Anolis sagrei: one gene and its partners. The protein of the gene in region 1 interacts with the protein of each later gene in a pairwise test. Links are inferred from orthologs where the notes say so. Each region holds a gene or a part of one and is shown in the gene's direction. Other genes may lie near its edges.

Evidence for each region.
Region 2: the proteins of IFT20 (region 1) and KXD1 interact in binary tests that used the Homo sapiens proteins (3 or more experiments, as listed by UniProt). The two-hybrid records come from large-scale screens. The link is inferred for Anolis sagrei from reciprocal best matches to the Homo sapiens genes IFT20 and KXD1.
Region 3: the proteins of IFT20 (region 1) and NUP54 interact in binary tests that used the Homo sapiens proteins (3 or more experiments, as listed by UniProt). The two-hybrid records come from large-scale screens. The link is inferred for Anolis sagrei from reciprocal best matches to the Homo sapiens genes IFT20 and NUP54.

What each region holds. Positions count from the first base shown.
Region 1 is NC_090031.1:25,687,702-25,694,848, reverse strand, and holds the start of IFT20 (intraflagellar transport protein 20 homolog), read left to right. Parts: upstream 1-4,114; 5' UTR 4,115-4,177; intron 4,178-7,147. UniProt on the Homo sapiens protein: Part of intraflagellar transport (IFT) particles involved in ciliary process assembly. May play a role in the trafficking of ciliary membrane proteins from the Golgi complex to the cilium.
Region 2 is NC_090034.1:50,953,154-50,960,581, reverse strand, and holds the start of KXD1 (kxDL motif-containing protein 1), read left to right. Parts: upstream 1-4,400; 5' UTR 4,401-4,562; intron 4,563-7,428.
Region 3 is NC_090025.1:13,510,154-13,517,809, reverse strand, and holds the start of NUP54 (nucleoporin p54), read left to right. Parts: upstream 1-4,628; 5' UTR 4,629-4,799; coding exon 4,800-4,854; intron 4,855-7,656. UniProt on the Homo sapiens protein: Component of the nuclear pore complex, a complex required for the trafficking across the nuclear membrane.

The sequences.
Region 1 (7,147 bases):
CTGTTGGACATTTACCCAAAGCTCACCATCCACCTAAGCTCTACCTTTGGAACATCCACCTGAAGCTCTACCTGTTGGACATCCACCTAAAGTTCTACCTGTTGGACATTCACCCAAACTCACCATCCACCTAAAGCTCTACCTTTGGTACATCCACCTAAAGCTCTGCCTGTTGGACATCCACCTAATGTTCTACCTGTTGGACATTCACCCAAAGCTCGCCATCCACCTAAGCTCTATCATTGGTACATCCACCTAAAGCTCTACCTATTGAACAGCCACCCAAAATTCTACGGGTTGGACATGCACCTAAATTCTACCTGTTGGGCATTCACCCAATGCTCACCATCCACCTTTGGGACATCCACACGAAGCTCTACCTGTTGTGCATTCATCTAAAGCTCTACCTGTTGGATGTCCACCTAAAGTTCTACCTCTTGTGCATTCATCTAAAGGTCTACCTGTTGGACGTCCACCTAAAGTTCTACCTCTTGTGCATTCATCTAAAGGTCTACCTGTTGGACGTCCACCTAAAGTTCTACCTGTTGGACATGCACCTAAAGCTCTACCTTTGGTACATTCACCCAAAGCTCTGCCTGTTGGACATTCACCCAAAGCTCGCCATCCACCTAAGCTCTATCATTGGTACATCCACCTAAAGCTCTACCTTTAGTACATTCACCTAATGTTCTACCTGTTGGACATCCACCCAAAGCTCACCATCCACCTAAGCTCTATCTGTTGGGACATGCACTTAAAGTTCTGCCTGTTGTGCATTCATGTAAAGGTCTACCTGCTGGACATGCACCTAAAGTTCTACCTGTTGTGCATTCATCTAAAGTCCTCCCTCTTGAACGTCCACCTGTCCCTATTAAAGAACCTCTAATATACCCTTCCTCTTCTCCTTTTCTAACCTTGCCTGAAAATGGAACAGGGCTCCAAAATCAATTATCCCCGCCCGCCCGCTCCACTTCCTTTCCAGGCACTGACCCACCAAACACAAAATCAATCCCACCCTTTAATGCCTCCCCTCCCTCCCGCTCTCCGGGGCCCGCCCGCCTCGCTTTGGGCGTCCTCCTCACCCGCCGCCTCTTTCCTTCCTCAAAACGCCGAAGGGGTCGCGGCCGTCGCTCTCCGAGGCCTCCGAAACTCCCCGGGCTGAACTGAACCGTCTCCCGAGCGGGTCGGCGCGCCCTCCGCGTCCCCAGCCCAACCGAAGGGCGGAGCTCGAAGCTCTAGCCTCCAGCAACAGGCCGCCCTCGCCAGTCAGAAACTTCCGCCTACAAATCCCGGCATGCCATCGCGTCGCAGCGCTCCTTACGCAATCATAAACGGACGAGGATGACGTTACGTATGACGTCATCCGCCTCGTTCCCTCGCTTCCTCCCCAGCCAGGCAAAAGGAGTCGAAGGCAGAGCTATCGAGCGCCATTCAAATCCACTTTATCGGCCCTCTGCTTTTCTTTTCAAACATTAATAAAGACATGTTATATATATATATTTAAAAGCACGAAAAATACGCACAGACACTTTGATGTCTTTGAGGGATCCTCAAATATTTTACAATATTTGAATGGGAAATACAATACTTTTACAATATTTTAATGGTTTTACAATATTTTAATGGAAAATTATACCAAAGGGCTTCATTATTATTTCTTAAAATTTTTCAAAGCAATAATGGAATGTATTTTTATTATGTTTCATATTTATTGTATGATTTTTATTTTTTAATGTTTCATATTATATATATATATATATATATATAATTTATATATTTATTTTTATATTATATTTATATACTTATTTTATTATGTTTCATATTAATAATAATAATAATAATAATAATAATAATAATGTGTTGTCGAAGGCTTTCATAGCCGGAATCACTGGGTTGTTGTAGGTTTTTCGGGATGTCTGACCATGTTCCAGAAGCATTCTCTCCTGACGTTTCGCTCACATCTATGGTAGGCATCCTCAGAGGTTGTGAGGGCTGTTGGAAACTAGGAAAAATGGGTTTATATATCTGTGGAATGATGTCCAGGGTGGGAGAAAGAACTTTTGTCTGTTGGAGGCAAGTGTGAATGTTGCCATTGGCCAGCTTGATTAGCATTTGAAGGCCTGACAGTTTTTAGGTGTGGCTTCTTAGTGCCTGGGAGAATCTTTTGTTGAGAGGTTTTTTATTTATTTATTGTGTCATCAGCAACCGTACCATTGTATTACATTTCTAACAGAACAAAACAAACAAACAGATAAAAAAAACCCAAATTTTGCAAACTTGGTAGTTGATTAAATGTCCTTTGACCAGTATCTGGCCACTTGGAGTGCCTCTGGTGTTGCTGCAAGAAGGTCCTCCATTGTGCATGCAGCAGGGTTCAGGGTGCATTGCAGCAGGTGGTCAGTGGTTTGCTCTTCTCCGCACTCGCATGTCGTGGATTCCACTTTGTAGCCCCATTTCTTAAGATTGGCTCTGCATCTTGTGGTGCCAGAGCGCAGTCTGTTCAGCGCCTTCCAAGTCGCCCAGTCCTCTGTGTGCCCAGGGGGGAGTCATAGAATCATAGAATCAAAGAGTGGGAAGAGCCCTCATGGGCCATCCAGTCCAACCCCCATTCTGCCAAGAAGCAGGAATATTGCATTCAAATCACCCCTGACAGATGGCCATCCAGCGTCTGTTTAAAAGCTTCCAAAGAAGGAGCCTCCACCACACTCCGGGGCAGAGAGTTCCACTGCTGAACGGCTCTCACAGTCAGGAAGGTCTTCCTCATGTTCAGATGGAATCTCCTCTCTTGTAGTTTGAAGCCATTGTTCCGCATCCTAGTCTCCAAGGAAGCAGAAAACAAGTTTGCTCCCTCCTCCCTGTGGCTTCCTCTCACATATTTATACATGGCTATCATATCTCCTCTCAGCCTTCTCTTCTTCAGGCTAAACATGCCCAGCTCCTTAAGCCGCTCCTCATAGGGCTTGTTCTCCAGACCCTTGAATATAGGGTCTCAATATAGTGGGCTTTTTTGTTGCTGTTTTCAGGGCTTGTTTTCCAAAGTGTTCCATGTACAAATTAGCTATGGGGGCTCCCCATAGCTACTCCATCTTTCTGTTCATAGAACTCATTGTCCCACTGAAAGTAGCTGGTGGTGAGGCAATGGTGAAACAGAGCACAGAAATGCTGGACCACTCTCACAACCACCATGTCAGATTACACACAGAAGCCATTGAAATACACAAGCATGTGGACAATTTCATCAGAAAGGAGGAAACAATGAAAATGAACAAAATCTGGCTACTAGTATTAAAAAAAACTCTAAAATTACAACAGCACAACAACAGAGAGGAAACGAACAAGGACATTTAATCACCTCTCAACAAAAGATTCCCCCAGGCACTGTCAGGCCATTATATGCTAATCAAGGTGGTCAGTTGAAACATTCACACCTAGCTCCAGCAGACAAGAGTCCTTTGTCCCACCCTGGTCATTCCACAGATATATAAGCCCTTTTTCCTAGTTCCAATAGGCCTGCCATAGATTGAGGCGAAACGTCAGGAGAGTATGCCTCTAGACCCGAAAAAACCTACAACAACCCAGACCTCACAACCTCTGAGGATGCCTACCATAAAAGTGGGCGAAACGTCAGGAGGGAATGCTTCTGGAACATGGCCAGACAGCCTGAAAAACCTACAACAACCCATTATTATTAATTTATTATTATTATTATTATTATTATAGGAAAAATCCTGTGCACTTCTACTCCAAAGCTTCATCTGAACATTAGGAAAAACTTCCTGACTGTGAGAGCCGTTCAGCAGTGGAACTCTCTGCCCCGGAGTGTGGTGGAGGCTCCTTCATTGGAAGCTTTTAAGCAGAGGCTGGATGGCCATTTGTCAGGGGTGATTTGAATGCAATATTCCTGCTTCTTGGCAGGGGGTTGGACTGGATGGCCCATGAGGTCTCTTCCAACTCTTTGATTCTATGATTCTATGATTCATTGGGACAAAGGGGGCCTCTCGATCCCCCTTCCCCTTCTTTCTGATTTGGACTCTTCCAATGGGAACTACACTTCCCACAATGCAAAGCGCTCCTTTGGATTCTCTGTCTCCTCCCCCCATTGGACGAATGGTACGTTCCAATGGGGCGGGGCTGATGCTGTCGCCGTGGCAGCGCGGGGAGGGGGCCTGGAGGGCAGGTAAGAGCCTGGGGATGGTGGAGGGTGCAGTCCAAAGCCCCCAATTGAATACAAGAGGCCTTGGTTGCCGGGAAGGACCCATCCAGGCTTTGAACAGGAGATCACAAAGCCCATTCCAGCCTTTCCCAAGGCTCTAGGGGTCTGGGCTGATGGGTGGTGCAGTCCAATGTCTCTATAGAGCAGGGGTTCCCAACCTTGGGCCCTCCAGGTGTTTTGGACTTCAACTCCCAGGTATCCTAGCCAACTTAGCAGCTGTTAGGAATTGTGGGAGCTGAAGTCCAAAAGGCCTAGAGGACCAAAGGTTAGGAACCCCTCCTCTATAGAGAAGGATCCATTTATTCTGGGAAAGGGAGGCCACAAAGCTCAATTCTACCTTTCCCAAGGCACAAGGGCATCTGGGGATGATGGGTGATGCAGTCTGACATCCCTATTGAGGGCAGTAGGCACTCACTGTAGGGAAGAACCCATTATGTTGGGTAAAGGAGGGCATGCGTACCAAGTTTGGTCCAGATCTATTATGGGTGACCATGACAGGTTTGAATCGACTCCAATTCCCATCGTCCTCTATCAATTCTTGCCAGTTTTTAAAGTTGTTCCAGGTGTGAATGTGGGCCAACTTCAACCCAGATCCATTTATTTATTTATTTATTTACGACATTTATATGCCGCCCTTCTCACCCCGAAGGGGACTCAGATTGGCTTATAAGATATATATGTATATATATACATACATACAATATATTATATTATTAGCATAGTACAATATCAGCATTGAACATTGCTATATTGCACCATACCACTATATCGTAATATTATTAGTAATATTAGAATGGAGCATTCTCGGATGGAGGGCGATTAATAAGTTATTAAATGATGATGATGTAATATAAATATATAATTATAATATCATATTATTATTACATTGCATTACATTATAACATTTCTCCCATGGGGAGAAAGGTGGGGTATAAATAAAGATAATAATAAATTATAAATTATTATTATTAAGGTGGGGTATGAATTATTATTATTATTATACTGACACCAAACCACAGTATGTCACAGCAAATGAGATATATGTGCTGGATTTCGTATCACAAAATCACAAACCAAACACTTCCCACGCATCTAGGACTGTGTGATGTATTTTCAAATGATGCGCGCAGATCCAAGTCAGGTGGCCTTTTGCAGTTGACAGATCGTGATTTTGTCGCTATCAAGACCTCAAAATCGAACTGCAAAGGCTCTGGCATAAACCACTCCAGGTGGTCCCAGTGGTCATCGGCGCACTGGGTGCCTGCTGAGATCTTTTGGCATGGCACCCAGTGCGCCAATGACCACTGGGACCACCTGTACTGGTTTATGCCAGAGCCTTTGCAGTTTGATTTTGAGGTCTTGATAGTGGCTGAATTTTTCGTGTTGTTTTTCCTCAATGCGACTGTCACCTGGTATGGCGACATCAATAACATTTTCTTTTCCACAATCGTGATGTCTGGTTATTATCATCATCGTCATCATCATCATCATTATTTGAAACACAACAAGATGAGTCCACAGCAGACTCAGAGCGGCTTACAAGGTATATATTACATACAATATGTAATATATACCTTGTAAGTATATTACAAGGTATATTGTAATTGTTGAATTGGATCACACGTCGGGCACTTCCCAAGTGTCTAGGACTGTGTGATGTATCGGTGAATAATGCGTGTAGATCCCAGTAAGGTGGCCGTCTGCAGATAGCAGATGGTAATTTTGTCAGCGCCGATTGTGTTTAAGTGCAGGCCAAGGTCTTTAGGCACTGCACCCAGTGTGCCGATCACAACTGGGACCACCTTGACTGGCTTGTGCCAGAGTCTTTGCAGTTCGATCTTTAAATCTTAATATCGTATCAGCTTTTCCAGTTGTTTCCCTTCAATCCTGCTGTCGCCTGGGATTGCAACATCGACAATCCATACTTTGTTTTTTAACATGATCGTGAAGTCAGGAGTATTATGCTCCAAAACTCTGTCTGTCTGAATCCAGAAGTCCCAGAGGCGTTTGATGTGTTCATTCTCTGTAACTTTTTCCGGCTTGTGATCCCACCAGTTCTTTGTCACAGGAAGATGGTGTTTGTGGCACAAGTTCCAATGGATCATCTGAGCAACGGTGTTGTTCCTCTGCTTGTAGTCTATCTGCGTGATCTTGCAGCAGCTGAGGATGGGATCGATTGTTCCATCTGCTTCCTTGCAGAGTCTACACTTGGGATCTGTCGTCAACTTTTCAATTCTGGCTTTGATGGCTTTGGTTCTAACGGCTTGTTCTTGGGCTGCCAGAATCAGGCCCTCCTTTGTCTCCTTTTTCAGAGTTCCATTTGTGAGCCACAGCCATGATTTTACTTTGTCAATTTGGCTCTCAATTTATGCCAGGAATTGTGCATGGAGAGCCTTCTTTTGCCAGTTTTCTCTTCTGCTCTGGATTGTGTTTTTACAGTATTCCCTCTTTGTCTTTTGCACTTGAAGCAGTTTACTACTAACTTTCCTCAATGTTGGTTCTTGACTGCCTTTCACATCATCTGCCAGTGTGTGTTTCTCTTCTTCTACTATTTGTTTCCCTTGCAGAAGCCCTCTCTCTGCCTCCTGATTTTCTGGGCAGGTAAAATCTGTCAACATCACTACGCGGGTGTCATGAGGAGTGGATTGTCATCAGCTTTCTTGTTTTTCTTTCCAAATCATCCGGCTCTGCGTGTGTCCAGTTCATAATAATAATAATAATAATAATTATTATTATTATTATTATTATTATTATTATTAAAGGTGGTCACAGTGGTGACTGGCACACTGGGTGCAGTGCCTACAGACCTTGGCTTGCACTTAAACATAATCTGCGCTGACAAAATTTCATATGCCAGCTGCAGAAGGCCACCTTACTGGGCTCTGCACGCATTATTCACCATTTTAAATTCTCTGTGTTATTAAATTATGTGTG
Region 2 (7,428 bases), on another chromosome or scaffold:
ACAATAATACAGTAAAATAATAAATGTAATAATAATAGAGTGAAATAATAAGTGTAATAATAACAATAATAGAGCAAAATAATAAATGTAATAATAATCATTAGAGTAAAATAATAAATGTAATAATAATAAATGGAGGTGCTCTTGGGGGAAAATAGACCTTGACATATGCGAGTTGTAGTTACTGGGATGTATAGTTCACCTACAGTCAAAGAGCATTCTGAACTCCACCAATAATAAAATCGGGCCAAATTTCCCACACAGAACCCCCACAACCAACAGAAAATACTGTGTTTTCTGATGGTCTTTGGCGTTCCCTCTGACACCCCATCGCGACCCCCCCCCCAGGGGTCCCGACCCCCAGGTTGAGAAACTCGGAGCAAACATAGCAAACTTGAAGTACTGATGGACTTTCTCGGGGTTAACCTGGCATGATGTGAGTTGTAGTTCACCCACAACTTTATGCATTTAGGACATTTACAAAACTGACTTTTTCAAATAACATGGGCAATGCCAGGCACCCAAGCTAGTAATAAGTAAAAGAAAATACAACAACATGAAACCAGTAATAACATTACATAAAATAAAATAATAAAATTAGTATAATATAATATTATGTGTGTGTGTGTGTGTGTGTGTGTATTACTAATCTATACACATAATAAAAGTGAAAATGTGTATGACTGTATGTGGTGGAGGTGTCCAGTTACACAGACAGCCTCCTGCCTCCACAAAGGCTATAGTTCCCACTATGCAGGAAGCACCGATTGCCCTCCCTCCACTGACATTCCAGGTTAGAGTGGGCACTATGAACATGTTTCCCTACCCCTGGCAATGTCGTCCCCAAACACCATACTGCACGACACCCAAGGAAAGCTTTCATTCAGAGACGAATTCATCCTAGATGTTCTGTTTTGCCTCCAACAAACAACAACAGAGAGGAAACAAAAAAGGACTTCTAATCACCTCTCAACAAAAGTTTGCTCCAGGCACTGTCAGGCCATTATATCAAGGTGGTCAGCTGAAACATTCACACCTAGCTCCAACAGACAAGAGTCCTTTGTCTCACCCTGGTCATTCCACAGATATATAAACCCTTTTTCCTAGTTCCAACAGACCTCACTACCTCTGAGGATGCTTGCTATAGATGCAGGTGAAACGTCAGGAGAATGCCTCTAGACCATGGCCATATAGCCCGAAAAAACCTACAACTCAGTGATTCCGGCCATGAAAGCCTTCGATAATACATTAAACAATGCTTTTTTCAAATAACTCGTGGACCGCCGAGTCCCCAAGCTAGTATTACTAATAGACATAAAATTAATATAAAACAATATAATATATGTATAATAATAATAATAATAATAATAATAAAACTTTATTTATACCCCGCTACCATCTCCCCAAGGGACTTGGAGTGGCTTACATGAGGCCAATCCCAACAACACATCGATAAAAACAACAAGCAATAAGCAAAATAAATAATACAATTAATATAACTCACACATAGACAATAACACACAATGATTTCAAAACCTATGGCTGGGCCAGATGTAATTAAACCAAAAGTAGAGAGCAACCCAACGGGTAATTAAAGTGCTTCTGAGGATATTTTATATATTATAAATATACAATTTAATAATAATAATAATAATAAGAGAAGAATGTGGGATATAAATATAGTGCTAAAATATTACTAATAAAAATAAATTAAATTAAATATAATTAATATAATATTATGGGTGTGCATATATTACTAATATACAATTTAATAATAATAGGAGAAGTGGGATACAAATATTACTAATAAGAATAAAATAAAATAAATAAAATAGAATTAATATCATATAATATTATGAGTGTGCATATATTACTAATACACAATTTAATAATAATAAGAGTAGTGGGATACAAATATTACTAATAAGAATAAAATTAAATAAATAAAATATAATTAATATCATATAATATTATGTGTGCGTATATATTACTAATATACAATTATTATTAGCATTATTATTATAAGAGAAGAAAGGAGGATATAAATATAATATTAAAATAGGAATAATAGAATAAAATACATATAATATAAAGTGTATATATTACTAATATATTATTTAATAATAATAATAATAATAATAATTTTATGATTTCCTCATGGCGGTTCACGGCACAGTCAAAACACACAAACATTGCAAGAAAAAAAATCCATAAACGCATGTATTAAAATGTTAGTTCTAGAATATACCAATTCTATCAAATGCATATGGAGTACACAGGGCAGAGATTGAAACACATTGAGAAACCTAAAGACTGTAGACATTATGCTGGGTGGAAGGAGGAAGAAATTAAAAGCAGGAGAGAAGCCAGATTCTGAATGTCTTGCACTCATCTTGCAAGCCATTGCAAGCAGAAGAGAGAAGCGACCCATTGCAATGCAAAGGCAGTAGGGTGGGCAGGAAATGGCATGGCTTTTACCCCAATCTCCAATCCCCCTTCACTTTCCTCTGCTTGCAAAACACTCACCTGGACCCAGGAATTGCTCACTTCCTTGGTCCCGCCTCTCTTTCCATCAGCTGATGGCCGAGGAGGCGGCTGATAGGCTGCGAGAGCTGCCACTCCAGCCTGACCTCCGCACACCCCCATTGCGCAACCTCTTAAAGGGACAGTGACCATCCCCAGACTGTATATTTACCACCAGCTTTCTACTTATGCCTTTTCAGACTACAGTTCTCATCAGGCTTCTCTTTGTGATTACAGTTCTCACCAGCTTTTCCTTAATGTCTTTACAGACTACATTTCCCATCAGCCTCTCTGTCTTTTCAGATTACAGTTCCCATCAGCCTTGACTTTGTGACCTTTCGGATTACAGTTCCCATCAGCCTTTCCTTAATTTCTTTACAGACTACAGTTCCCATCAGACTTTGTGTCATTTCAGATTACAGTTCCCATCAGCCTTTGTGTCTTTTCAGATTACAGTTCCCATTAGTCTTCCCTTTGGGTCTTTATAGACTACAGTCCCAATCTGCCTTTATGTCCTTTTGGACTACAGTTCACACCAGCCTTCCCTTTGTGTCTTTAAACTACAGTTCCCATCAAGCTTCCCTTTGACTTTACAGACTACGGTTCCCATCATCCTTCCCTTTGTACCCTTTCGGATTACAGTTCCCATTAGCCTTTCCTGAATGTCTTTACAGACTACAGTTCCCATCATCCTTCCTTTTGGGTCCTTACAGGCTACAGTTCCCATCAGCTTTTCCTTAAGGTCTTTACAGACTACAGTTCACATCAAGCTTTCCTTTGTGTCTTTACAGACTACAGTTCCCATCATCCTTCCCTTTGTGTCTTTACAGGCTACAGTTCCCATCAGCTTTTCCTTAAGGTCTTTACAGACTACAGCTCACATCAGCTTTTCCTTAAAGTCTTTACAGACTACAGTTCACATCAAGCTTTCCTTTGTGTCTTTACAGGCAACAGTTCCCATCAGCTTTTCCTTAAGGTCTTTACAGACTACAGTTCCCATCAAACTGACCTTTGCCCCGATCCGAGGTTTTAAAATGAATCTGCGTATTCAGGATGACTCAGTGGAGAGAATGAAGTAATACTTTAACTGGAAGAATAATATAATATTTTATATTGACATATAATATTAATAATAATATTATACATTATAATACTAATAATAATATGATATAATACATAATACTAATATTGTGCTATGCTAATAATATCATATATTACATATTCATATAATATTAATAATACACTATAACAATATATAATACTAATATTGTGCTATGCTAATATTATCATATATTATATATTCATATAATATTAATAATACACTATAATAATATATAATACTAATATTGTGCTATGCTAATATCATCATATATTATATATTCATATAATATTAATAATACACTATAATAATATATAATACTAATATTGTGCTATGCTAATATCATCATATATTATATATTCATATAATATTAATAATACAATATAACAATATATAATACTAACATTGTGCTATGCTAATATTATTATATATTATATATTCATATAATATTAATAATGTAATATAATACTATATAATACCAATATAACACTAATATATGAAATATATTACTGCTGATAATATATAATAATATAAAAATGGCAATACTATTTTATTGTTTTCTGAAAAGATGAAGCGGGATATCAATCCAAAAAAATCGATGAATGAATAAATCTAATATCTGTGTTATTGCATTCCCATAACATAGAGAGGGCGTGGTTTAGCCCTCTTTTTATCCCCCAATGAAAATGCGGCGGGGGCGGAGCCAACGGAGTAGGAAGCAAAGCGCAGGCGGGTCCACCATTGCTAGGGTAACCACGCAGGGCACGTCCAGGGACGCAAAGCCTATGTCAGCGCGTAGCCACGCCCCACCCGGAAGTGAGCCGTTAGAGGCTGTTGGAAAGGAGCCTTCCGGTGGGGCTGAGTGGAAGAAGCGCTCTCTCTCAGCGCAGGCCTCGGTCGCGTCAGGGATGTGAGCTTTTGGCTTTGGAGCTTCTTTCAGGTGCGTCGGGGGCGGGGCCAAAATGGCCATTGGGGAACAGTGAGTGGGCGGGGCCTGACCCGATGGAGTGTCTCAGGGGGCGGGGTTGTGGGCGGAGCTTGGGGAAGGGGCGGAGTTTGGGAAGGGTCCTCTTCTGCCAACACAGATACAGACTTATAGAATCATAGAATCAAAGACTTGTCAGCTGGAAAGGAGGGGGTTTCCTATTGGGAAGGGCTTGTTGGCTTTCACAAGGGGCAATCCTTGTGAGGTTTGTGGGCTACTGAGCACAGAAGTCATAGAATCATAGAGTTGGAAGAGACCCCATTCTGCCATGCAGGAAAAGCACAGTCAAAACACCCCTGACAGAAGGCAATTTAGGCTTACAATTTAGAGTTACAAGCTGGGTAGGTGCAGAGAATGCTGTGGATTTCAGTAAGGCCTTCAACAAGGTCCCCCATGACCTTCTGGCAAACTAGTCCAATGTGGGCTAGCCAAAACTACGGTTAGGTGGATCTGTAATTGGTTAAGCGGACGAACCCAGAGGGTGCACACCAATGTATTGTCAAAGGCTTTCATGGCCGGAATCACTGGGTTGTTGTAGGTTTTTTCGGGCTGTATGGCCATGGTCTAGAGGCATTCTCTCCTGACGTTTCGCCTGCACTTGGCAAGCATCCTCAGAGGTAGTGAGGCCTGTTGGAGCTAGGCAAAAGGGTTTATATATCTGTGGAATGACCAGGGTGAGACAAAGGACTCTTCTCTGTTAGAGCTAGGTGTGAATGTTCCAACTGACCACCATGATTAGCATACAATGGCCTGACCGCGCCTGGGGCAAGCTTTTGTTGAGAGGTAGATGTCCTTGCCTGTTTCCTCTGTTGTGCTGTTGCAATTTTAGAGTTTTTTAATACTGGTAGCCAGATTTTGTTCATTTTCATTCTTTCCTCCTTTCTGTTGAAATTGTCCACATGTTTGTGTATTTCAATAGCTTCTCTGTGTAGTCTGACATGGTGGTTATGAGAGTGGTCCAGCATTTCTGTGTTTTCAAATAAAATGCTGTGTCCAGGTTGGTTCATCAGGTGCTCTGCTATGGCTGATTTCTCTGGTTGAAGTAGTCTGCAGTGCCTTTCATGTTCCTTGATGCGTGTCTGGGCAATACTGCTGCATTTGGTGGTCCCTATGTAGACTTGTCCACAGCTGCATGGTACACGGTAGACTCCTGCAGAGGTGAGAGGATCCCTTTTGTCCTTTGCTGAACGTAGCATTTGTTGGATTTTCTTGGTGGGTCTGTAGATAGTTTGTATGTTGTGTTTCCTCATCAGCTTCCCTATGCGGCACTACAAATAAGATACATGCAGTGTGCATAGGAATTCATTCATTTTTTTCCAAATTATAATCCGGCCCTCCACCAGTTTGAGGGACTGTGACCTGGCCCTCTGTTTAAAAAGTTTGTGCACCCCTGTTCTAGAGGCATTTTCTCCTGACGTTTCGCCTGCATCTATGGCAAGCATCCTCAGTGGTAGTGAGGTCTGCTGGAACTAGGAAAAAGGGTTTATACATCTGTGGAATGACCAAGGTGGGACAAAGGACTCTTGTCTGTTGGAGCTAGGTGTGAATGTTTCAACAGCAGTACAATACAATACAGCAACATAAAATATAAACAAAAAAATAACATCACAGTAAAAATAAACCGATAAAATAAAATAAATAATATAAAATAACATAATATAAAATCAAACACAATAGGTAGGCCAGATGTTTGACATAAAATTATAAAACACTAGATGAGATAGCAATGAAAAGTGCAATTTGTAGGGAAGGAGCTCGTAGAGGACTGAACAGTGGAGTTAAACTTTCAATAAGTTGGGGGAAAGTGCAATATGGGGAGAATGCTCTTTGAATGCAATTTTCCTGCTGCTTGGCACTGGATGGTTTTGAGGTCTCTTCCAACTCTATGATTCTATGATTATGATTCTAAGATCCGATGGGCCATCTCGTCTGACCCCATTCTGCCATGCAGGAAAAGCACAATCAAAATACCCTTGACAGAAGGCAATTTAGGCTTCTCAGCTGTTAAACTGAAATCCCTGGTTATCTCTTTGAACTGTTAAGGACAACGTTATGCCAATGCACAACATATATACCAGATCTTCAGAAGTGCATGTGAAAAAGATCTCTCTGCCCCGGAGTGTGGCTGGGGCTCCTTCTTTGGGGGCTTTGAAACAGAGGCTGGATGGCCATCTGTCAGAGATGCTTTGAATTCAATTTTCCTGCTTCTTAGCAGGGAATTGGACTGGATGGCCCATGAGGTCTCTTCTAACTCTATGATTCTATGATTATATTTTCTCCTTTTTCTTTTATATTTGTTTATATGCCTATATGTACTTTGGTATAAGTCTAAGTCAAACTCAATGTATAAGTCAAAGGCAGGTAGGAGAGCCAAAATGAGTCACCTTTCACCACTCAGAGAAAGGGATAGTTCCATTTTTTTTTACAAGAGTTAAGATGCAGTATTTACATTGATGTTTCATATACACCTTATACACATAAGTCTGAAGACTGTTGCACATGAAACTAAGTCCATGTATATTAAGCTACCAGGCTTTTAAACAGAGGTTGGATAGCCATCTTTCGGGGGTGCTATCTACACCCCGCCTTTCTCTACCCCAAAGGAGGCTCAAGGCAGCTTAAAAGGTAAGGTAAAGGTTGTCCCCTGACATTAAGTCCAGTCATGTCTGACTCTGGGGGTTGGTGCTCATCTCCATTTCTAAGCCGAAGAGCCGGGGTTGTCCGTAGACACCTCCAAGGTCATGTAGCCAGCATGACTGCATGGAGCGCCATTACCTTCCCGCCGGAGCGGTAACTATTGATCTACTCACATTTGCATATT
Region 3 (7,656 bases), on another chromosome or scaffold:
CATCTAAACAGTGGAAGCCAGAAGTGTTCCGAGAGATCTCCCACGCTCTTTTCTTATTGCATGTGTATCAAGTGCAGTATCAAGTGCAGTATTAGCTGAAACCTCACTGAGTGTGTTCACCAAATCCCCCCTTCCTGATTTTTCCTCTCCTCCTATTCCTTCTCATAACAGTAAAGTAATTACTAGTCTTGCTGGCAATGTAAACATTTCCCCCTCTGTTTTGGAATACAGTAGAGTCTTGCATATCCAACATAAATGGGCCAGCAGAACATTGGATAAGCTAAAATGTTGGATAATAAGGAGGGATTAAGGAAAGCCTATTAAACGTCAAATTATGTTATGATTTTACAAATTAAGCAACAAAACATGTTTTACAACAAATCGACAGAAAATGCAGCTCAATACACGGTAACGTTATGTAGTAATTACTGTATTTACGAATTTAGCACCAAAACATTGCAATGTATTGAAACAGCTGTGGATCCAGGCAGGAGGCAGATTGCGTTGGATAATACAGAACGTTGGATGAGTGAAGGTTGGATAAGCAAGACTGTATGTGTCAAAAATACATGGATTTTTTGATTCACAATATATTTACAAATGATTGCCGCTTATTGTTAATACCCATTAGTCTAGCCCAAGAGCCATTGAACCAACTGTAAGAATCGAGTTGGACCAAAGATCCATCTAATGCACCTTTTTCAATTTCTAGTAGGGTTCATACCATTTATCTTCTTTCTCAGCTGTTTCTCATTTTTCTTCTCTTTCTTAACTGTAAGAATTGAACCAACTGTAAGGATTAGGTTGGACAAAAGATCCAGCTAGTGCACCTTTTTCCATTTCTAGCAGGTTTCATATCATTTTTCTTTTTAGCACAGAGGTTGTGCTTGGATAGCAAATTCAAAACTACAGTATATTAGAGAAAAAGTTATAAGCTTGGGGATTTAGGGCAGTTCACAACATACAGTGGCAAATATTTAATAATATTGTTAGGAATTGTGGGTGTTGAAGTTCAAAACACCTGGAGGGCCGAAGTTTGCCCATGCGTGGATTAGCCCAATTCTCCTTCACTTCCTTTACTTGCAGTTTCTTTTCAATGTGAGCAGCATGCGTTCTAACACAATAGTGTTTACAGGGTGGCTGTGTTCACTTCTCAAAGAGCTTCAGGTACTAATAATCTGGGTAATCATTACAATAACTCTTAAGGGAGCGAATGTCAGCTTTGTTTTACGTGAGGAGGACTTCAGCCTGAGGAATAGCAACTTCCTTAGGATTTGTATTAAGATCAAATTGGTAAATCTGTCGTCTTTATACTAAGGTACCCTAAAAACTAACAAATGTATGAAAACATAACATTTTGTGGTCATGCTATAATAAATTTGTTAGTTTTCCAAGTGTCGCCCGTTTCTGTATTGTTTCCGATGCAACACAAGAGCTGATCTTCATCATTTCCTTAAACAAACAGTAAGATACTCTTTTTTCCTGAGGTCTGTTTTATGCACATAGAAGACTAACCAAAAACATGTACAGTCGAACAGCCAGAGAACACTAATACTACTTGTAAAGAGTCAGTTTGAGGGCATTTTAATGCAAAAGGGGAAATACTGTACAGTGTCAGAAGGCCATAACAGATCAACCATTTAAATTTTTAACTTTCTTTAATTGGAAGCATTATCCTGGGTAAATCAGTCTTCTTTGATGTTACGACTGTGTCCTTTTTTGAGGAGGGGCTTGTAACAATGTGGCTCTTTACTCACCACGTAATATGTAACAAACCAAGTAAGCTTCACTGAACTTTGTCCATGAATGTGGAGTATTCAGAATAAATGGCTTTTTTGTTGTTTCATTGCCTTTCTCTTCATTGTTCACTGGAATCAAAGCAAGTGGTGCATTGGGGGAAAACGTGCTTGCTGTGAAAGTGAAGGAACTACTAAGGTAAGCTGAACCAGTGTAGTGTGCTGTTTTGCATGTTTGACTGTGACTCCGGAGACCAACCACAGTTCAACCCACCGCATGTCCTTGGTTGAGTCAGTCCCATACCTTCAGCATGAGAAAGATGCTTAAGGTTGTTGTAAGGTGGAAGCAACTTGAAGGTATGCAACAAAACCTTAGGGATGTTGTGATAATGTAGTGCTACATTTCCTGATTGTGGAACTGGCCAAAGACGAGCACAAACAAACACAAGCCTTGGATTTAAGGAAAGTTGATTGTATAACATTGAGGGAAATACTGGCTGCCACTCTGCTACCAAGCACAATTCAAAGTGCTGGTTTTAGCCTATAAAGCCCTTAATGGTTCTGACCCAGTTTACCTGTCTGAACGTTTCTCCCTCTAAGAGCCAGCTAGAAGGTTAAGATTGTCTGGGAAGGCCCTGCTCTCGGTCCTGCCTCTTTCACAGGTGCGGTTGGTGGGGACAAGAGATAGGGCCTTTTCAGTGGTGGCCCCTCGGCTATGGAACTCCCTCCCTAATGAGGTCAGATCAGCCCCCTCCCTCCTGACCTTCAGGAAAAGGCTAAAGACATGGATGTGGGATAGTTTGGTTAGTAACCCATTAGAAAAATATGAAATAGTGAAATGACAATTTGGAACAGCCATGGATTATGATTTTGGATAATGTTTTTAAATAAATGGTTTTAAGGTTTGATATGTTTTAATGATTTTTTAAAATGTATGTTTATTTTACTATGTTTGCATGCCATTGAATCGCTGTCTATAGATGTAAGCCACCTTGAGTCCCCTGAGGGATTGAGAAAGGTGGGGTATAAATATGGGAGTGGAGTGAGCTTCTGCCAACCTAGCAGTCCAAAGAAAACCCACGGGAGCATTGCAGCACACCCAAATAAGTGGGAGTTACCCTGGACCATTCACTGACCTACAAGAAGCACTGCCTGAATATCAAGCAAAAATTGGGTGCTAGAAACAATATCATACGAAAGCTGACTGGCACAACCTGGGGATCACAAACAGACACAGTGAGGACATCTGCCCTTGCGTTATGCTACTCTTGCACTTTGCTGAGTATGCATGCCCAGTGTGGAACACATCTCACCATATATATAATATTATCATCATCATTATATATTACCAATCATAATAATATATTATAAATTATTATTTATGCACAATTATTAATATATATTTTCCTCATATATTATCCATCGTAGTAATTTATTACTATTTATATTTAATTTACATTATTTATATTATATAATATAAATAAATATCACATCTACGGCAGGCATCATAATTTATTATTTATATATAATAACATATATATAGAAATCATTGTGATATATTATTTTATTTATTTATTTATTTACCTAACTTATATACTGCTGTTCTCAGCCCGAAGGCGACTCACAGCGGTTCACAACAAATATGAACAGCAAAAATCCAGTGCTACAGTATAGAAACAGTTAACAACCTAACACATTACACAGTTAATAAACAATGTATTGTCGAAGGCTTTCATGGCTGGAATCACTAGGTTCTTGTGGGTTTTTTCGGGCTATAGGGCCATGTTCTAGAGGCATTTCTCCTGACGTTTCGCTTGCATCTATGGCAAGCATCCTCAGAGGTAGTGAGTAGCTGTTTAATTAATAAACAGTTGCTACAATACCCATTCACTGTCGTCTCATCATAAAAAACATGTTCCAGATTCGTCATCCATTGTTCTATTCCAGTGTTCATTAACCAATCATTGCACTAATTATTCGAACGCCTGCTCAAACAGCCAGGTCTTCACTTTTTTGCGGAATACCATCAGAGATGGTGCTAGCCTAATGTCCGTAGGAAGGGCGTTCCACAGCTGAGGAGCCACCACCGAGAAGGCCCTATCTCTCGTCCCCACCAGCCGAGCTTGAGAAGCAGGCGGGATCGAGAGCAGGGTCTCCCTGGAAGATCTTAAAGTCCTGGTGGGTTCATAGGCAGAGATGCGGTCAGATAGGTAGCTTGGGCCGGAACCGTTTAGGGCTTTAAAGGCCAACGCCAGCACTTTGAATTCAGCCCAGTAGCAGATCGGTAGCCAGTGGAGTTGGCGCAACAGGGGGGTTGTATGCTCCCTGCGCTCCGCTCCTGTTAAAATCATGGCTGCCGAGCGTTGGACTAGTTGGAGCTTCCGAGCTGTCTTCAAAGGCAACCCCACGTAGAGAGCGTTGCAGTAGTCTAAACGGGATGTAACCAGAGCGTGGACTACCGTGGCCAAGTCAGACTTCATAATAATAATTTATATTATTATGTATATATTATCATATATATATATTGGTATATTATCCACCATGGCTACATCATTCCTGCAGAGGGAAATATATATCTTTAAATGGCCTGCCTTTAATTGGAAGAAACTAGTTCAGAAGCCAGTACTCAGTCTAGAAGTTACACTTGAATGTCATTGCTTGACGTCATTAAAGAGCGCCGATGACATTGCTTGACGTCCTTAGCGTGCGCCGTGTCAACAAGGTGCCTCGCATGCAAACAATCTGCGCATGCGCTGTGGCAACCAACCTCTCAGCGCGGTGCTCCTTGCTTTAAGGTCCGGGTGAAGCCTTGTCCTTGTAGAGATAAAACTACCCCCTCACACACACATATATCTATGTAGGTATATATATATGTGTGTGTGTGTGTGTGTGTATAAATGTGTACGGATGTATGTATATTCTTTCCTATCTGATGGATGTATATCCTTTCCTATCTGTACACTTTGCCCGGCCCTTTTCTCCCCGGGGTGAGTGTTTCCGCCCGGACGCGGATAGAGGCGGACCCTCCTTCTGTGAGCGGGTCTGCGGCCTTCCTCCCGCCTCATGGCTTTCAACTTCGGGGCCGCTGCCAGCGCTGCCGCCGCCCCGAACCCCGCGGGTGAGTCAGAGAGAAACAGGGAGACACTCCGGAGGGGAGGGAGGGAGGGTGGCTGCTGTGTGTACTCTAACGCCAGGGTCACTACGTTGCTGTGAGTCTTTTTGGCTGTATGGCCATATTCCAGCAGTATTCTCTCCTGACGTTTCTCCTACATCTATGGCAGGCATCCTCAGAGGTTGTGAGGCTTGTTGGAAACTAGGCAAATGGGGTTTATATATCCAGGTTGGGAGAAAGAACTCTTTTCCCTGTTGCTGTTGCCCAGCTTGCTAAGTACTGAGTAGCCTTTTAGCTTCAAGGCCTGGCTGCTTCCTGCCTTTGTTGGGAAGTGTTTGATGGCCGGCCCTGATCCAAGAAGTCCTCCATTCAGATATTGCCTCACGTGAACTATATGAGCAGCCAGGCCTGTAGCGAGGGGGTGGTTTTAGGGGTTCAAACTCACCCCGAAAGGAACATGAAAGGCACTGCAGACTACTTCAACCAGAGAAGTCAGCCATAGCAGAGCACTTGGTGAACCAGCCTGGACACAGCATATTATTTGAGAACACAGAAATGCTGGACCACTCCAACAACCACCATGTCAGACTACACAGAGAAGCCATTGAAATCCACAAGCATGTGGACAATTTCAACAGAAAGGAAGAGACCACAAAAATGAACAAAATCTGGCTACCAGTATTAAAAAAACTCTAAAATTACAACAGCAAAACAGCAGAGAGGAAACATCCAGGCACATCTTAACACCTCTCAACAGGGGATTTTCCCAGGCTCAGCCAGGCCTTCAAATGCTAATGAAGGTGGTCAGTTGAAACATTCACACCTAGCTCCAGCAGAGAAGAGCTCCTTGCCCCACCCCAGCCATTCCACAGATATATAAACCTATTGTCCTAATTCCAACAGACCTCACTACCTCTGAGGATGCTTGCCATAGATGAAGGCGAAACGTCAGGAGAAATGCCTCTAGAACATGGCTCTATAGCCCGAAAAAAAACCACAAGAACCTAGTGATTCCAGCCATGAAAGCCTTCGACAATACATCCCCCCGAAATGTTTCAGATTTTTTTAAAAGCCTGGTTTACTCATGAATTTTAACTGGTTAACCCAATCCCCATGCTAAGTCTATGAGATGCAAAAAATTAAGAGTCCCCCCAGAACTGTAAGCACTATCTCAAGCAAATATTGACAATTTATTCACACTGCCATTACTTGCAGCAATAGCCAGTGTACTGCAGCAACCAAGCAACTCATTAAGGAGGCCAGACTTGGTGGAGGTGGTTGACAGGGGTGGAGCTGCAGGCTATTGAAGGCTGCTCTGCTCCCTGCTGTGCTCTTTGCTTCAGCGTGAGCTAGGAGGCAGGTTTCAACCCCCCCCCCAAATGTTCAAACACCCCCCCCCCCCAAATTGTCAACCCTCCCCGAAATTTTTTTCTGGCTACGGCCTTGTGGGCAGCCTTCTAGTTTCAGGCCTCCACCCTTTGAAATTAGAATTTATCAGACATAATAATAATAATAATAATAATAATAATAATAAATGTAGAGTAGAGTAACTTACTAGCAGCATCATGACCCAGCACCAGTAGTCCAAAGTGGTAAAAAGACGAAAAACACACAGACCAATGTTATCTTTTCTTTTGGAGGCTTTTCTTTGTAGTAAAATAATATGGTTACACTATTTACACTATTTAGCTGGGTTGCAGCTAAACATCAAAAAAACCAAGATTATGGCAACAAGAATGATTGACAACTGGGAAATAGAGGGAGAAAATGTGGAGGCCGTGACAGACTTTGTATTTCTAGGAGCAAAGATTACTGCAGATGCAGACTGTGGCCAGGAAATCAGAAGACACTTACTTCTTGGGAGGAGAGCAATGGCCAATCTTGATAAAATAGTAAAGAGTAGAGACATCACACTGGCAACAAAGATCCGCCTAGTCAAAGCCATGGTATTCCCTGTAGTAACCTACGGATGTGAGAGCTGGACCTTAGGGAAGGCTGAGCGAAGGAAGATCGATGCTTTTGAACTGTGGTGCTGGAGGAAAGTTCTGAGAGTGCCTTGGACTGCGAGAAGATCCAACCAGTCCATCCTCCAGGAAATAAAGCCCGACTGCTCACTGGAGGGAAGGATACTAGAGACAAAGTTGAAGTACTTTGGCAACATCATGAGGAGACAGCAAAGCCTAGAGAAGACAATTATGCTGGGGAAAGTGGAAGGTAAAAGGAAAAGGGGCCGACCAAGGGAAAGATGGATGGATGGCATCCTTGAAGTGACTGGACTGACCTTGAAGGAGCTGGGGGTGGTGACGGCCGACAGGGAGCTCTGGCATGGGCTGGTCCATGAGGTCACAAAGAGTCGGAGACGACTGAACGAATGAAAAACAACAACACTATTTACAAGAACAAGGTTTCTGTAACACAAAGTTCTTTATACTTCCTTCGTTGCTTCCATGCTGGGCTTCTTTCTCAAAGGGCGGAAAGTGTGCTGGCGGCCGGGGAAGGTTTTTACAAGGCTCTAGTGCAAACAGAGCGGCAGGAACTGGATTCCTCCCCCCCTTCTTGTGCTTTCCCCCACCCACTTTCTGACAGTGAAGGAGCCGGGGCTCTGGGAGGGGATGACATGTAAGCCATAGACCACGTCCTCCTCCCTCCTTCGCTGCTGCGTCTCTCACTCACTGCACTGTCTCGCGCATGCATTCCCTTCACGAATTCTGACCCATGGTGCGCAACCATCATAGGGTCCCAGCTATCATACTTTTGCCAATATGGGATTTTATTCAGCTGTGTGGAAGAGGCCCAAGATCAGTGATT